Linked DNA regions of Daphnia pulex. The protein of the gene in region 1 binds, or shares a complex with, the protein of each later gene. Links are inferred from orthologs where the notes say so. Each region holds a gene or a part of one and is shown in the gene's direction. Other genes may lie near its edges. The genes, in order: dystrobrevin beta-like and beta-1-syntrophin-like.

The links.
Region 2: dystrobrevin beta-like (region 1) and beta-1-syntrophin-like share a complex: the UniProt entries of both Caenorhabditis elegans proteins name them as parts of the dystrophin glycoprotein complex. The link is inferred for Daphnia pulex from reciprocal best matches to the Caenorhabditis elegans genes dyb-1 and stn-1.

The regions. Positions count from the first base shown.
Region 1 is NC_060026.1:13,043,371-13,051,000, reverse strand, and holds dystrobrevin beta-like, read left to right. Parts: upstream 1-2,371; 5' UTR 2,372-2,665; coding exon 2,666-2,792; intron 2,793-2,861; coding exon 2,862-3,075; intron 3,076-3,132; coding exon 3,133-3,221; intron 3,222-3,283; coding exon 3,284-3,435; intron 3,436-3,510; coding exon 3,511-3,622; intron 3,623-3,689; coding exon 3,690-3,865; intron 3,866-3,979; coding exon 3,980-3,991; intron 3,992-4,085; coding exon 4,086-4,231; intron 4,232-4,252; exon of another isoform or gene 4,253-4,324; intron 4,325-4,462; coding exon 4,463-4,741; intron 4,742-4,814; coding exon 4,815-4,983; intron 4,984-5,055; coding exon 5,056-5,281; intron 5,282-5,359; coding exon 5,360-5,430; 3' UTR 5,431-5,812; downstream 5,813-7,630. Other genes in the region: protein bark beetle-like, read left to right, coding at 6,838-7,116. UniProt on the Caenorhabditis elegans protein: Plays a role in cholinergic transmission and as a functional partner of dystrophin (dys-1), necessary for muscle maintenance. Required for localization of ctn-1 near dense bodies in muscle cells.
Region 2 is NC_060025.1:4,793,457-4,801,133, reverse strand, and holds beta-1-syntrophin-like, read left to right. Parts: upstream 1-2,782; 5' UTR 2,783-3,106; intron 3,107-3,290; exon of another isoform or gene 3,291-3,451; intron 3,452-3,671; 5' UTR 3,672-3,678; coding exon 3,679-4,021; intron 4,022-4,099; coding exon 4,100-4,201; intron 4,202-4,758; coding exon 4,759-5,056; intron 5,057-5,125; coding exon 5,126-5,461; intron 5,462-5,532; coding exon 5,533-5,720; intron 5,721-5,783; coding exon 5,784-5,992; intron 5,993-6,067; coding exon 6,068-6,160; 3' UTR 6,161-6,433; downstream 6,434-7,677. UniProt on the Caenorhabditis elegans protein: Adapter protein that binds to and probably organizes the subcellular localization of a variety of membrane proteins. May link various receptors to the actin cytoskeleton and the dystrophin glycoprotein complex (DGC).

The DNA.
Region 1 (7,630 bases):
AAATTATGACCGAAACGAGTGCAACTTGTAATGCATTTGATACCAATACCATGACGTGTTGTGCCTATCTGTCTCTCCTATGCGAATGATTCAAGACGAGTCCTATTTTTTCTAATTGACTTGTCTTTTATTTGCCCTTTTCTCTAGTAACCTTTGTCTTTTTATGTGTGAGTCGTTTTACCAATCTTTGAACCTAGTCTAAACATCCAAATGAAATAAAACATTCCCGAACTCGTGGCACGTTGGCACTCAAAACATTTAAACTTTTCAAAACAGAAAACCATTTGGTACTATTAGAAATGTATCATGAAACAAAGAAACTCTTGCTAATGACGTTTTATTAGGGATCAGCCCAGGATGACTATACACTTGCTGTAACCATACAGTCACTCGGAGAGTAGTGGTTACAACAGGCTCCTACCGGACTCTTCTCCCTGTCTCCCGCTCTTGAAATCGTTACCCACAAGGTTGACGGATACGGAAGGTATTCGTGTCTGATGACAAGTAAAAAAGGGAAACAAAGTAAACCCTACATATACAAACCCTCTCCTTCTACTCCGCTCCGGCTCCCTCTGTTTCCAACTCATTTCACTCGTGTTATCTAAACAACCCCTGTAAACTCCACCATTGGCCTCCAAGTTCCCTGTCTATTCTTTGCCAGACCCCAGTCAATAAGGTTTTAGAGTAAACCGCACCCGTTTATACCATTCCCGCACCGGCTAGCAAGTTTCCTCTTTACTTTGTCTGTATATACCTGCTTACTCCATCCGACTCAAACTCCCGAGAAGAAAGTTCCCGGCTCACGAATCGTAATCCGCTAAGTGATGTCTGGGTATTGATGATCATAGCACGTTTTGATTAGAATAGTGAAACAAGTTTCCACGACCATTTTTCCGCAATTTTCGCATACTTTCACGTCGAGTACGATACTTGAGTTCAATCCCGATTTTAATTTTCCCACTTGAATATTACCAGCGTTGATAATGTGATAATGTGGCAACTTTCCAACACCAACATAAATAGAAAAACTAAAAACTTCTAGAAAGCCAGACTAAAGAGAAACTTCCACGTCGATTACTTGATATCAATCCAGATTTAAATGTTCCCGCTTCTGGAGCATGCTTGGAGTCTTGGACATTCCAAGCGGCAAGCGGTAATAATATGGTAAATGTGGCAACATTCCAACACTAGGCAGGAATAGAAAAAAAAAAACTATAAATTTGCAGTCTCGGTTCCAGTATCGTCTCTAATTTTGAGAATTATATATTTATACCTCTTTCTTATCAAGATTAATAATATTCGTTAAGTGAACACTCTACTTCAAGTTACAGTTTCGTGCACTGTGCAATTACTAGAACGAAATATTTGTGTATACGTCTACAGATTGTATTTTGAAGCATTCAGTTACGTCACTGCTGTTTCTTTTTATGAAAACATCAAATACTTGCGCCAAACCAACGACTAATTAAGATCATACTTCACAGGATCATTTCTGTAGTATATCTTGACTTGTTTCCCACCAGAAACTTGTCTCCTTTCAACCCACGATGAGGAGTAACGACGCTGGCTTCTGAGCGTGAAGCAGGTCGGGAGTGTAACTGCTTCGGTAGTATCTACTCTTGTCCATTGAGGACCGTTTCCGGTATCTCCTTGTGAGAAACTGGAAGGAAGTCAGCGTGTTCTGAGTGGTGTTATTAAATAAATAAATATTAAAAAGAGAACTAAGAGTGAAAAAATGCTGTAAATTACATACAAATATTTTACACACTTACTAAAATACAAGCGGCTATTTCATTAATAAAGAAGGCGGATATCCCGTGTCCTCGTTTTTATAAATATAAACAAACTACAAGTGGGTGGAGTACGGAAATTGGAATAATAGCTTTCCGTGAACATATCTTTTTACAGTTTCGAATTTTCACCATTTACAGTACCCATAAAAAGCCAGTAGTAGCCAAACATCCGCAATTTAAACGCATGTGCTTGTGCTACTAATTGAAATCCCAGCAGGAGGTTTGGTTTACTTCACATTTTGCATAGTAATTTGAATTAGCAAGTTATAATCAATCCTTGTGTGCTGGACGTCTTTTTACCCTTTGCTCCAAGCCTCAAAACATCTCCTTTTTTAATCAAAGTTACGTTAGGTTGTATGGCTATCGCTAAGGGCATTTACTTTATGGCTTGCTAGAAATCTGAGGCGAGATTTGAAAACTTCAAATAGATATCAATCTGCCGCTTGTATTTACTTATCGACCAACACACCAGACGTCTTACACTCTAACCATGTTTGGAAAATAAATCACACAAGCGTTATATTGGGAATTTCTAGACGAGGGTTACGACGTTATGTGGCGTGCTCGGGCATGCTCCATGCAGTCTGTTTAGTATCAACAACTTCAGAGAAGGCGCTGCAGCTAGTTTAGCATTCCAAACAGCTGATCAAGCTATATCCTTGTTTTTGCATGTGCTGCATAATATCAAAGTGCAGGGTGCTTGTTGTTTTGCTAGTTCTTTCTCACGAAGTCGTACAGATCGGCTTAGCGGTAGCACTAAAGCAGTTCTGATTTTAGCAGGCTTTGAATACCAAGCTAATTCACTCTACTACCTCTCGGGTGTTTGAAAATCGATCGTTGTACGTGAATATAATTGAATATCTAGGATCAGTATGGAACAAAATGAGTCGGGCAAATTGGACTTGGCAAATGACATCCACACGCAGAATTTCAACGTCATTCGTCTAGCTTCTTATCGGACGGCTGTCAAATTCCGTTTCATTCAGCGAAGAACTCATTGTAACACATTCATACATTCCTAAAATATTTTCTAGTTGAATTGAATTCATTTGGTTGTTATCTCTACAGTGCACCTTATCGATGTGTGGAATCTAATTGAGGCCTTCAGAGAAAATGGATTGAATTCGGTGGAGCCCTACACACCTATGACTCTCAGTCGACTTGAGACTTTGATAAACACCCTGTATGTTCATTTAAACAAACGGGTCCCCATTGGGCAACAGCTTCATGTTGATCCTGCGACCATGTATCTTATCAAGTGGATTGTGTCTGTTTACAACCTGTAAGTGATGATAATACTTTGCCAAATGGAGCTCTATAAAATTACAATCTTTTACAGGAATGAAGAAACTGATAGGATCCCTGTCTTTACAATCAAAATGATTTTAGCCGTGCTGTGTGGTGGAAAGTTGGCAGATAAGCTTCGCTGTAGGCTACCTATTCCTTCTTACTCACAAACTTGGATTTAACACAAATGCATTTGCTTCCAGATGCTTTTTCTCAAATGTCTGACTCGAATGGACAGCTTGTTGCCCCAAAATTTGAAGACTTCATGCGTCAGTGTTTTGTTCTAACAGCTGCAGTTGGAGAAGAGCCTTCATTTCATTACAGGCCGGCAATGGCTCAAGAAATCTTTCCAAATGTATTTATTTTAATGAGTTTGTTGTATTCTTTACAGCTCTATTAAGAACTTGATCTTATATCTTTTTCATAACAGGGTTCCAAAGTGAGTGTAAATGAATTCCTTGACGTCCTCTTGGGTGACCCTGCGGCAGCTCCGTCATTGGTTTGGCTTCCTCTCATACATCGTATCGCAGCTGCCGAAAATGGTAATACCCAAGAACGTCATATTGGATGCTCTTGACCGTTGAAATTACCTTTTTTAATTGCTTGCAGTCGTTCATCCCGTGGAATGCGTTTCTTGTGGACGCACCCGTTTCAGCGGTTTACGATACAAGTGTACCAAATGTCCTTCGGCATGGAGCCATCAGTGTCAAGAATGTTTTTGGCGTGGACTTTCTTTTTCGGAGTCGCATAATGCCGATCACGAGATTCGCGAGCATCACACGCCGGTATGTTGAAAGGGGCATTAGATAACGAAATCTTTTGACTGGGATATCTCTTAAACGCCGTTTGATATGCTTATTATATGCTCGTTTATTTATTCACGCTTACTGATGCTTCAGGCAGCAGAAGAGGTATATAAGTGAGCATGCTATAGATTGGCAAGCTAAACGAACCGTTTTGGCTAGAATTAACTGTTATTTTTTAATTTCCTGACGTTTAATGTAGAAAACCCCAAAGGAATCGGTGTTTTCGGCATCTTTGAGGCGTTCCCTTCAGTGCGTGAGAAGCCCCACGTCCGACTACGACCAGAATCGTACCAAAGTTTGGAGAACACTAGAGGGTCCAGAGAGACCCGTTGCAGTCACGTATATGTAAGAAGCCCTTTTGGTATATCCCATATGGTCTAGTGGCTAGGATACTTGGCTTTCACCCAAGAGGCTCGGGTTCGATTCCCGGTATGGGAAACCTTTTTAATTCCCATTTTTTAATTATCTGATCGCTATTTTAGACTTAGAATTACATATTACCCCATAATAAACCACTTAGAATTTTTCATAGTCCAATTAGTAATTAATGCATGCATTTTCCTTTCATTTTTATAGTTCAACGCCATCAGCGACATTGGAACGCAACGCTTCTCTATTGGGAGGTAGCGAGACATGGAAGACCAGCCAAGTGCAAAATAACACGGGAAGTTTGAGTCGTTCGTGGCAACGCGGAGATGATGAACACGGATTGATTGCGCGCTATGCCGCTAAATTAGCAGAAAATCAGAAGGATCCTCGTCCGGAGCAAGAGAGTAGCAGCACCAGTGCACACCAACTATTGGCTCAGCTTGAGAATAAAAACCAAGAAATTCTCAGAGAAATTGCTCGTATTCGGTACGACCCCCCGTGTTTCTGTTGGTTTACATTTTAAAGAAGTTTGGCCTAAATTCTATTGATCTCTGTGCAGTCACGAGCAGGAAATGGATGAAGGGGTCATAACGGGACCTTATCCCCTCATGGAAGAGTTGAGCGTTCTGCGGCAGAGGAAATCGGAGCTTGAACAGCAACTGAATGGATTACAAGACTCTCGCAAACAACTTATGGTGCAATTGGAATCGCTAATGAAGATGATCAAAGTAATTTGAGAAATCCTTGGTTCTCAAATAGTGCGGCTCTTAACATGTGACTCCTCGTTTTTCAATTCCCAGAATCAGCAGCTATCGCCCCGTTCTACTCCATCTACGTCTTCTACCCCAAGCCGTGGGAAAAGTCCTTCGGTCGAGGCCGAATCCCACCAAGCCGCCATCACCCCGTCAATGGATAATCCCAATCGTAATTTCAACACAGGCAGCTTTGATTGGCGCCAAGATTTGATGAGTGCTGCCGATTCAGTGACGGACGCCATGAGCAGTCTAGTTCTCGAATATAACGGGGGTGAGATTATGCTATATTTGAAACCAGTCAAATAAGGATGGACTAAAATGTGTTGTTTGTTTGTATACATTTTTCCAGATACTAGCGAAGATGAATCGGCTCGGATTTTCAACGGGTTGTCAAACGACTCGAATAATACTTGCGTTTAAGAAAAAAAAACTCTTGCCCACTTTTGGTTTTGTCACGTATGGCCGTCATTCCTCTCCATCTCACTTTTCAGTTGTTCTGGATTAAGTTCTCCCCACCCCCATCTTTACTGTTATGATAAGTACCACCAGTTATTTGGTTACCTCGTACTGCCCGATTACTTAAAATCTCCATTTATATTTCGGTAGCCTTTAAAGAAAGGTAATGCATAATCCTCAAGATGCATTTCTGCCTCCTTTCAATCAGTGTGTCGTAATAGCGCCTCTATGTACGGAACATAGGTGTAGCCAGGTAACATGGCTGTGGTCGGTTTTTGTTTTTTCTCCACTGGACTACTTGTTGTTGCTATTAGATTGTTATTTCAATTTTCAATTCTCGTTTTCTCACACTCCGTGCCACATTTCGATCGATCAGTAGAAGATTTATTGATCTGACTGACCAAAAAGAAAGAAAAAAAAGGCTGGCAGCTCTTTACTTAGTTCTAATAATAGATTTACAAGTCAGAAACTCTCTCATATTATTACTTTTTAAAAGATAGTTATGTGAAAACTCGTTAACTGTGCTGTTTATTTGCCGATGTGGAGACATTTAGCGTGGTTGCCTCTTCCTGAATACTTCAATCCCGTCCTCTTTTAGGTAAAAAAGTTCGTGAAAAAAACTGGAACATTTATATTGTTGTTTCGTTACGAGTGTTTGTGTTGTTGTTGTTGTTGGCAAAACAAACAGCAATAATAAACCCTTCCAAAATAACAAAATTTGAAATTTTCAAATCACGATAATCGTATTTGAAAACGCTAGATGGTGTTCGAATGCTGTTATCTACCTGTTTTTCTCAACCACCCTCCTTCTCCACACGCACATTCCTTTTTAGTCACGTGACCTGTTCTTCTACCTGCGCTCCGTCCGTCCGTCCGTAAGCTCCACAAATCCCCCATTGTTGGCCGGCCCAGTGCTGTCAGTATATACCTCCTCTTGAACTCCCTTCCTTTTTCTTTCTTCTGTTCTCCTTTTCATCCGCATTTTTTTTGTATCTTCACATCCCACAGGTATACACGCCCCGAGGGAGTTTACTGTTTTTCATCTTAACTTACACAGTGGCCTCTCTCGTGTGTTGCTGAGGCCGTTGGGGTGGGGGAGAGAGAAACGGTGGAGTTGGCTGCACATTCAAGACTCGGGAGAGTTTCAAATGTTGTGAGGCGGGGCAGTTGAGAGTCGACCGTTGCCCCGACACAGTGCTGCCAACCTACACTCGCGCTACCTGCAACTGTCTAACCGAAAATTTCATTCCAATTCCTCATTGCGATTTCGTTGCTAAATCGTGTGATCTCTGGTGCAGGGAAAATGTGCCCTTGGTGAGAAAAAAAACGTCCAGTCGATTAGACAAGAAAAATTTTGCAAACGATTTAGAGATGAAGCCTGGACGCTTTCATTTCACAAAGTGGCCGACGACCACATTGCTGGCCGTCTCTTGTTTCCTTGTTATTCTTTGCCATCATCGAACGGTGAGTGAGTCCATCTTCAACCCAAGTGTGACGGACAGTCAGTTCATGACCAGGGCACACAGTCCCTACCACATTCGTGATGTGATTCATATCGAAAAAACGGGTTCGCTCAACATCGAGTCGGGCGTCGTCATCAACTTCCATCCAGGTGCGGGGATTCTCGTCAAAGGTGCCCTCATAGCCAAGGTAACACATTTTGAATTTTCTTAAAAATTTGTTATAACAATTTTACAAGTTTAGTGAAGAGAATTGAATTCGTTCCGGGCGGGGTCGTATCGTTTGGGAACTTTCTTCTTTGTCTCGGATTCAAAATCCAACGCATGAAAGGGTTTAATTTGAATGACCCACTTATAATTCCATCTTTGATCGATGGATGTGGTAAAGTAAATTTCCTTTGGAAATTATTTGAAGCGTTGCCAGATATCTGTCTCGTACTGTGAACAATTTGGTTTTTGTCTCTCCTTCTTTTAATGCGGTTGTTATATCAAATTATTGGTAAATCATCTGCGGGTTTCAATGTCCATGACGGTTGTGGTTACGGGTTTGTTCCCGTATACACAAGCACATGTCCGAAATTAACGAGGTGAACGTCCTAAACGAAAATGAAAATGTTTGGTTCGTTTCTTTTCGCCTGAGAAAAATCCACCTGGCGTGAAGGTGAACTCTGATTTTTGTTTGTTTGTTTCATTTCTTAACGAGG
Region 2 (7,677 bases), on another chromosome or scaffold:
TCTATGGTTTGTGATTTTTAGATTTTCATCTTGCTAAGTACACACGTGAAGATTCATTGCTTGTTTTTTTCTGGTGCGTTTTAATCATGAATTGATTACTGTATTGACGAGGTACATTTCGTTTTAAACACGGCAAAACTTTCGAAATAATTATTTCTAGTTCAAATATCGGGTATTCTTGTTTCAGTTTTCTTGCGATCCATATGGCGAGATCCGATTTAAAAATTGTATTTATTACATTGAAAAAAAAAATCGTTTTGGGACATTATTCGTTAGATTAATTACGCATCGTAGATTTATTAGTAAATAAGGTTTAATTCATTTAACTGGAGATATACGTGAGAGGATACTGTATACTCTTTGGTGGTTTAAAAAAGGAGCTTAATTTTGAATCGATTAAGCTTGAACGACCCGAAATATTACCGTGAATACGGGTGAATAATAAGGATTCTCTCTCGGCACAAGTACACCATTATTCCAGACAAGAACAAGGTAGTTGAGGTGTATACGTTGGTCCCTGAGGCTAAGGCTTTAGCCTGCCGAGGGCCTTAACAGGGTTCCCGTAGAGCTCAAAAGTCTCCCTGGAAGGAAATGGGAAAAGGCGGAGCTTAGAGAGAAAAACTACCCCCACGTGACCGAAATCTGGCCTTGCTATTGGCTCCCGTCTCGATTTACCGATCGATATAAAATCGGAAATTCAGTGAAGCCTATACTCCCTGCCACGCGATTTTCAACTCACGGTCCCACATTTTTCAGTCACCGCCGAAACCTGAAAATGGAATTGCGTGGTATACCCAGGGGTAGTTTTTGTGATAGAAATGTAAATGTAAACAAACAACAGATTTAGAATGCATTCGAAGATTCGTGTATTATATTATCAAAGGAAAAGTAATTCAAAATGTTTTCCATGCCTAACAAAAATTGGCGTTTACTTCCGAATTTTATTTAAGTTAATATTTAATGTTTCGGTATTCCCAAGTTTCACTGTATTCATTCAGCTTTTTGTTATGTCCTAGTCCTAGTCCACAGACACATACCAACAGTTGCTTCCATTGAAAAAAAAACGATTAAACATTCAGCAACTTGTGTCAACAGTTAAATAATTGGTCTCTTACTAAATTAAGTCATTTCAGGAACTCAGCATGTTCTTCAGTATATCGAAACAGTGCCAACCCACCTGTGCCAAACTACATGTTTACAACTGGTAATTCGTAATCGCCCAGATGCAGAAAAGTTTAATCTTTAAACTGAATTTGTTCTACAGGAGTAAATGTAGCATGGATCAACTTACAGTGACCAACTTACAATGACCAACTTCCAGTGACCAACTTCCAGTGACCAACTTCCAGTTACCAACTTGTGGCTAGAGTCGATACTTACAAGGGTATTAGTTGCAATGCTTCCTGACATGGCAAATTATTCCATAGCAGAAATAGGTGAGACACACACATAATCATTGTAGAGTCTAATGTTCTATTTCTATACATAATTTTTTCATCATTAGATGCTATGTGTCGAAAAGCTAAAGTGTTTTTCCACTGTGATGGAGCCCAAGCTCTAGGTAAAATTCCAATTGATGTTGAATCGATGTCAATTGATTTATAAAGGTATTTTACAATTTAATATATGATTGTTATTTCGATGTAATTCACTCTTTTTTCGCATCATTATTTTCTTGAACTTGAACAAAAGGTGTTGGTGCTCTTTACGTGATAGGCCGACCACGGGTTAGGATTGAAGCTCTGCAATCTGGAGGTGGTCAGGAATGAGGGATACGTGGTGGAACAGTTCCTACTCCACTGACAGAGTGACAGTTGGTTTTGGCGCAGCATGTGAAGTAGCTCAGCAAGAACTTAAGGTTTTAGTTCATGTCATAGTAGTATCCATACATAACTAATTGATCAAAACCATGTTTTAGTATAATCATGCCAGATTAGTAAACTATCGCAACGCTTGATCGATCAGATTGGTAATAGTTTAACACATGTCGTACGAAATTGAGATCCTGAACACTCCTACCCAGGTTGTGTAAACCTTTCTTTCGCCTACGTCGAGGGAGAAAGTCTTTTCATGGCCCTGAAAGGTAACTTTAAAGGCAACTTCCACTACCTTTCATTTTAACTAATTCTTTTTATTACGTAAGACGTGGCACTCTCAAGCGGAAGTACTTGCACCTCAGCATTGCTGGAACTTTCATATATTTTGCGGACCATTGGCGCTGAAGAAGATTTGGCGCATTCTTCTATTCGATTTGGAATTGGGCGATTCACCACCGAAGCTGAGGTTGATTACACGGCAGAAAAGTGTATTCATCAAGTATCACCAAACTTCGAGAAATGAGGTATATACCGACCAGGTTTGGAATTCCCAGACAAAAAGTTTATTTTACTTCCGCTAAAAATGTTAATTTGTCCTTCTTCCTTATTTGTTTATTTTTGTCGAAATGAAAATTTATAAATGCAACGTCGTTCTTTTTTTTTTTTATGGTCAGTGTTTTAAAAAAGTAGAAGAGTATACAGAGTACAATAAAATAAAAAATTACAGAGTAAAATAAAAAATAACGACAAGAAAATGAAGCACAAGAACAAGACTGCCTAATTCCAAAATTCTTCCAAGATAGCTCTGTCACTTAGCCGAAGGCCAACGCTTGCAACGCGAGCCCTAGTATATACAATGTATCCACTGAAAAGTATTACGAAAAGACATCCGGGAAAAAAAATCATGCGGGCCCGCATTGAACCCACGAATCAACACAAAGTCAAAGCGGCAGTATCGGCAGTAAAAACCTAAGGGACTTCAAGCAATGTCAAGCTTGAAATTGACCCATTCTTTTGCCGACTAACGTCATAACGAAACCTTGGTTCAGCCGTTTCGTTTTAAGCAAGAGTAGAGGTAAAGGATAGAGAAGAAACGTGATATGGGTAAACTGTTGGGCTACGTCCCAAGAATTTGTCGAGTGTACATTTTATTATAGAGGAGAAGCCTGGTTAATGTTACTGAAGGAGTTACACCGACCACTAGGCAGTGGAGCACTGAACCTCACAAAATTTAACCGAATCTGGATGTTATATATGTAGCTGTGCTATGCAAGAACTGTAAAATAAAGGTAAGTTCACTCAAACTACGCTTAAACTTCTATCAACTAAATAGTGACAGCAACAACAAAAAGATAGAAATGGCAGTATTTTTATATTATGAAAACAGTAACAGCAGGAAGCCTTCGAGCAAGAAGTCAAGGAGCACATACCGGGCGTGGCTGATTTGGTTACTTGATAGTTATCACGTTAGATGTCTCTAGTGATTATTAGGTAACCACAAGTGTGTGTTTACAGTTCAGACACGATTCAGTCTCGAAAGTGACTGATTGTTATTATAGATATAGAACAATTAGATACAAATTTAGAAACAAAATACAGTGATGTGATTACAAGTTCCACGCGTGTAATAAAAGGTAAGGTTAGTTCATGTGTATGTGCATCTAGAGCAGCAAATTAGAAACAGATGGATGTAGTTAAAGATGAGCAGGCGCGACCATATTTTCACTAAACGTTTCTCGAAGCTATTAATTTATTTCGTTGTTATCGTTAGATATTATGTAGCTTTCAATAATTGTTACTATTGGTTATATTCTTCTCAGGTGGTGTTAGTAATTCTATTTCTATTATTTACAGAATAGAAATGACCAATTATGACAGAAGCGGTCAGGTGGAAGTATGGGCTAAAGAGGAATGGCACCCAGCGACTGCAACTTTAAATGGTGATGCCGGGTGTTTGTTTATTACACTAGAAAATCCTTCAACAAACCAAAGAGATGGCGCAGAAACTCTCAACACATCAGCAATTTCAGCTGAACAATATCGAGATTCATTGGCCAATCAGAAACGAATCGTCCGTATAGTTAAATCGGACAATACTGGTTTAGGCATATCAATTAAAGGCGGCCGAGAAAACCGAATGCCCATTTTGATTTCTAAAATTTTCAAGGGATTGCCAGCTGATCGAACTGAACAGCTTTATGTTGGTAATATCCTTAAACTTTTACTGTTCTAGTTCTAATGAGAGTAATAATCGACTCAATATAATTTTTCTTCTTAAATAGGGGATGCTATTCTGTCTGTCAATGGAGAAGATTTACATAACGCAACGCACGACGAGGCCGTTTCTGCTTTGAAGACCGCTGAAAATACTGTTGAATTGGAAGGTACCGTGTACATAGACGGATACTGTTGGAGTTATCCACATCAACTTTTCTTTTATTGATGAACTGGAGAAAGTTGTCGTGGATAGACTCATTTTCTTCCCTTACTTCTTTCATTCCGTTAGCTCTATCAGAACCTGTCCATCTCTCAACGACCATGTAATATCGTATAAAACAGGTTTGATCATATTGAAAGAGTGTCTGCTTGCATTGCTCTGGCATTTTTTTGCTCGGTTGCGTGTATTATTATTCCGTCACACCTCGCATTATCAAGTATTCCTTGAAAAGTAATTTAGTTGGCTTTTTTCTTTCACATTTCTTGTTGGTTTGTTTTTGTTTTAGTTTTTGTGCAAGTTTCCGAGTTAGCTTTTTTTTTTTTCAGTTTCTGCCCATTTCGTTTTTATTTTATTTTATTTTTATTAAGTTTCACCGCCTGCTTCCCTGCTAGGTTGATCACCAGTATCCGTCATATAGATGACTTGTTTGATGCATGATCCCTTTCTCGTTTTTTATTACCTCCACGATCGACTCCCTCGCTGGCCGTTTGTGTTGTGGCTTAGTGGTGACATCATTCTACATTGCAGTGAAGTATCTCCGCGAGGTGACGCCGTACATTCGAAAAGCTTCGCTTCTCAGCGACATCGGATGGGAGTTGCAGCGCCAATTCCTGGGCTTTTCCCACGTCGCCCAAACATCGACCAAACCGGATACGCGATCGGTCCCTCTTCTCTTTTGTTACCTAGCCAGGCGGCTGAAAGCGGCCAAGAAAAATGATCACCGTATTTTGGAAATTCATTCACCCGATGGATTACAATCTTGCCTTCTTCGTGCACCAGACACCACGCAAGCATCCCAATGGTAAAAATTTCTAATCATTTTTTAATGATTGAATTTTGTTTTTTAAATAAAAACCATTATTACTGTCAGGTTTGTATCCTTGCACACGACCCTTTCGGTGTTATCTTCACGTGGTTTAGCCGAGAATGGGCATCGGATTGCGAAAGCATTGAACACGGCTTCCATACGGATGTGGGGTTGGCTGGCTCTCTTGGGTCACCGACCTAAAGACGCCCAGAATAGTGTCAATATGGATAATGGAAGTTTGAACAGTCATGGCAATGAGCCATCATCCCTGATGAGCGAAAATTGGCAACCGGTATTTGTGGCCTTGACCGATCGTGATGTCTTGCTTTATGACTCGGTACCGTGGAGTATTGATGGCTGGACAAAGCCGAGTGCTCGCATACCACTTCTAATGACCAGGTATTATTATTATTATTATTTCTAATTCCATCTCCTAATCTATTTGAACGATATTTATCTTTTATAATTAGGTTGGTAAGCAGCAACAAGAGCAATTCGGAGGGAGAGTACTGCACCTTTTGCATTCGTACTGGAACATCAAAAGGAGTAGTCAATCGCGTATTCCGTGCGGAATGCGAACGCGATTTAACTTTGTGGGCCCGTGGCCTTGTTACAGGAACACATAACTGTGTCGTTGCCATCAGAGAAGCTGCTTGGGGTATTATAAGTTTTACATCATTATTAAAAATTCTAGGATCGTAATTGATTGAATATTATTTAGATTGTTTGTGGCGAGGACAAGAGGCTCGCCTTTATCTGCACTATGAAGACGGCTTGAAACTGTATCCAGCTAGCGAGATGCAGTCTGCTGAACGATCTAACACGTTGCCTGTTCCATTTTGGAAAGCTTCCTTTGGCAATTTACGCCATTCAGCCGATGATGGCGTGCGCATTTTGTGGCTTGATATCGGAAATGAAGAAGGGGAAATGGTAAGTCATCAGAGAAAAATATTAGTTTGAAGATAAGAAATAGCTTTAATCCCGCCAAATTTGTTTTATCTCCAGGAGTTGGACATGTTAACATGCCCGAAGCCGTTTGTGTTTACTTTACATTCTTTTTTATCCGGTAAAATCAATCGTATGGGGATGATCACGTGATTTTCCGGCGAAAGATCTTTTGCAACTATTTCTTTCCATCAATCATAATTCCGTTTATGCCTGCCGAAGACAAAAGTTTATACCAAGAGCGAAGACGCCAGTTACGAGAAGTAAATATTCTATTTCTTGTCAGCTACTGTGTGAGAGAAACATACAGCTAAAGGATCAGTCTACTTGTCAAAGTTAGATTGGTCTATATCATTTTGTTTACAACACTTTATATCTTTAATACACTGTCTGAGAAAATTTACAAGTTTTTCTCAACACCTCTAATTAGGTTATCTTATATTTTGATAAAGAAAAAAGAGTGTCATTGGTAGTTTATTATATATGGGTCAATCACGCTCCTGATTTCCAGACATCTCAAGATTAAATCCCCGGTCACGTAGAGAAAATGAAGGGAATTTGACTTTGAGGCGTGTGTATGCATAGGAAAAAATATATAGTATATAATATTCTTCGTGGAATGTTTTCTCCGAACCCAAGCATTTTTACTACTACGAACTTGTAAATTGTTGTTGAATATTCTGAAAAATTTACATTATTAGTGTTGCTGGCCGTCTAACTAGATGGCATTTGTTGTCGAGTAGGTTTGAAAAGGAACAATTGTGAGCATATAGCTTGGAGCACCGCCATCAGATCTGTCTTTGAAAGTACGTACTTGGATTTCGGAGATTCTTGCTGTTAGATAGACAAGACGAACATTTCAAATGATTATGCAAAGTCAGAACAAGATGAAAACTGAAATGGAAAGGATGCGCCCACAAGCTATTGGGGCCTTTTAGCAATTCCTATCGCTTTTGGCAATATCACGCAAATGTTATATGAACCATCTAGAAACAGGAGCAAACCGGCTCGAGCTGATATAATCGAAAAATTCGCATTCCTTAAACTGGTTTTTTGCGGTTGATTTGATAAAGACTTTTTTAAGATCATTTGCACTGAACAAATATGAATTTTTCAACAACTGGGTAGCATGCTTGTTTGATTGCTCACTATTAGTTCAAACCAGATAGGACAAGCAGGAAGGTCAGCTCAGCTTATGAATAGAAACGAGCTACACGTGGCAGTTCCTTTTTTTTTCACCTAGAAATAGATCCGCATCCTGTTAAATCGACGGGAACGGAAATACGAAAACGTAGAAGCGCCAGACATTTTATCGTCTGATGCCTAAAAGTAAAATAACTAAAAATACCAAAACCGGACAATAAAGACAACTAATGTGGAGTGAGTCAAAATGGATTTGATCATTCCATGTATGTATTTCATATACCGACCAAGGTTTACTCATTTGGTGTGGTACTACTCATCCCGTCCTTGATAGTCACGAACATCAGGCTCTATATCTCGTGATTTCTAAATTCTGTTATAGTGAATGTCAAATCAAAGTTACGTACTTCCCCAGCAGTATCGTTCACGTGTCAGAGTTCGTGCCTTTATACTTATCTCTATATAAACCAAATGAAAGAAATTTTTTGTTAAATTCGGGAATTTCAATGACGTCGACAGCAAGGCGA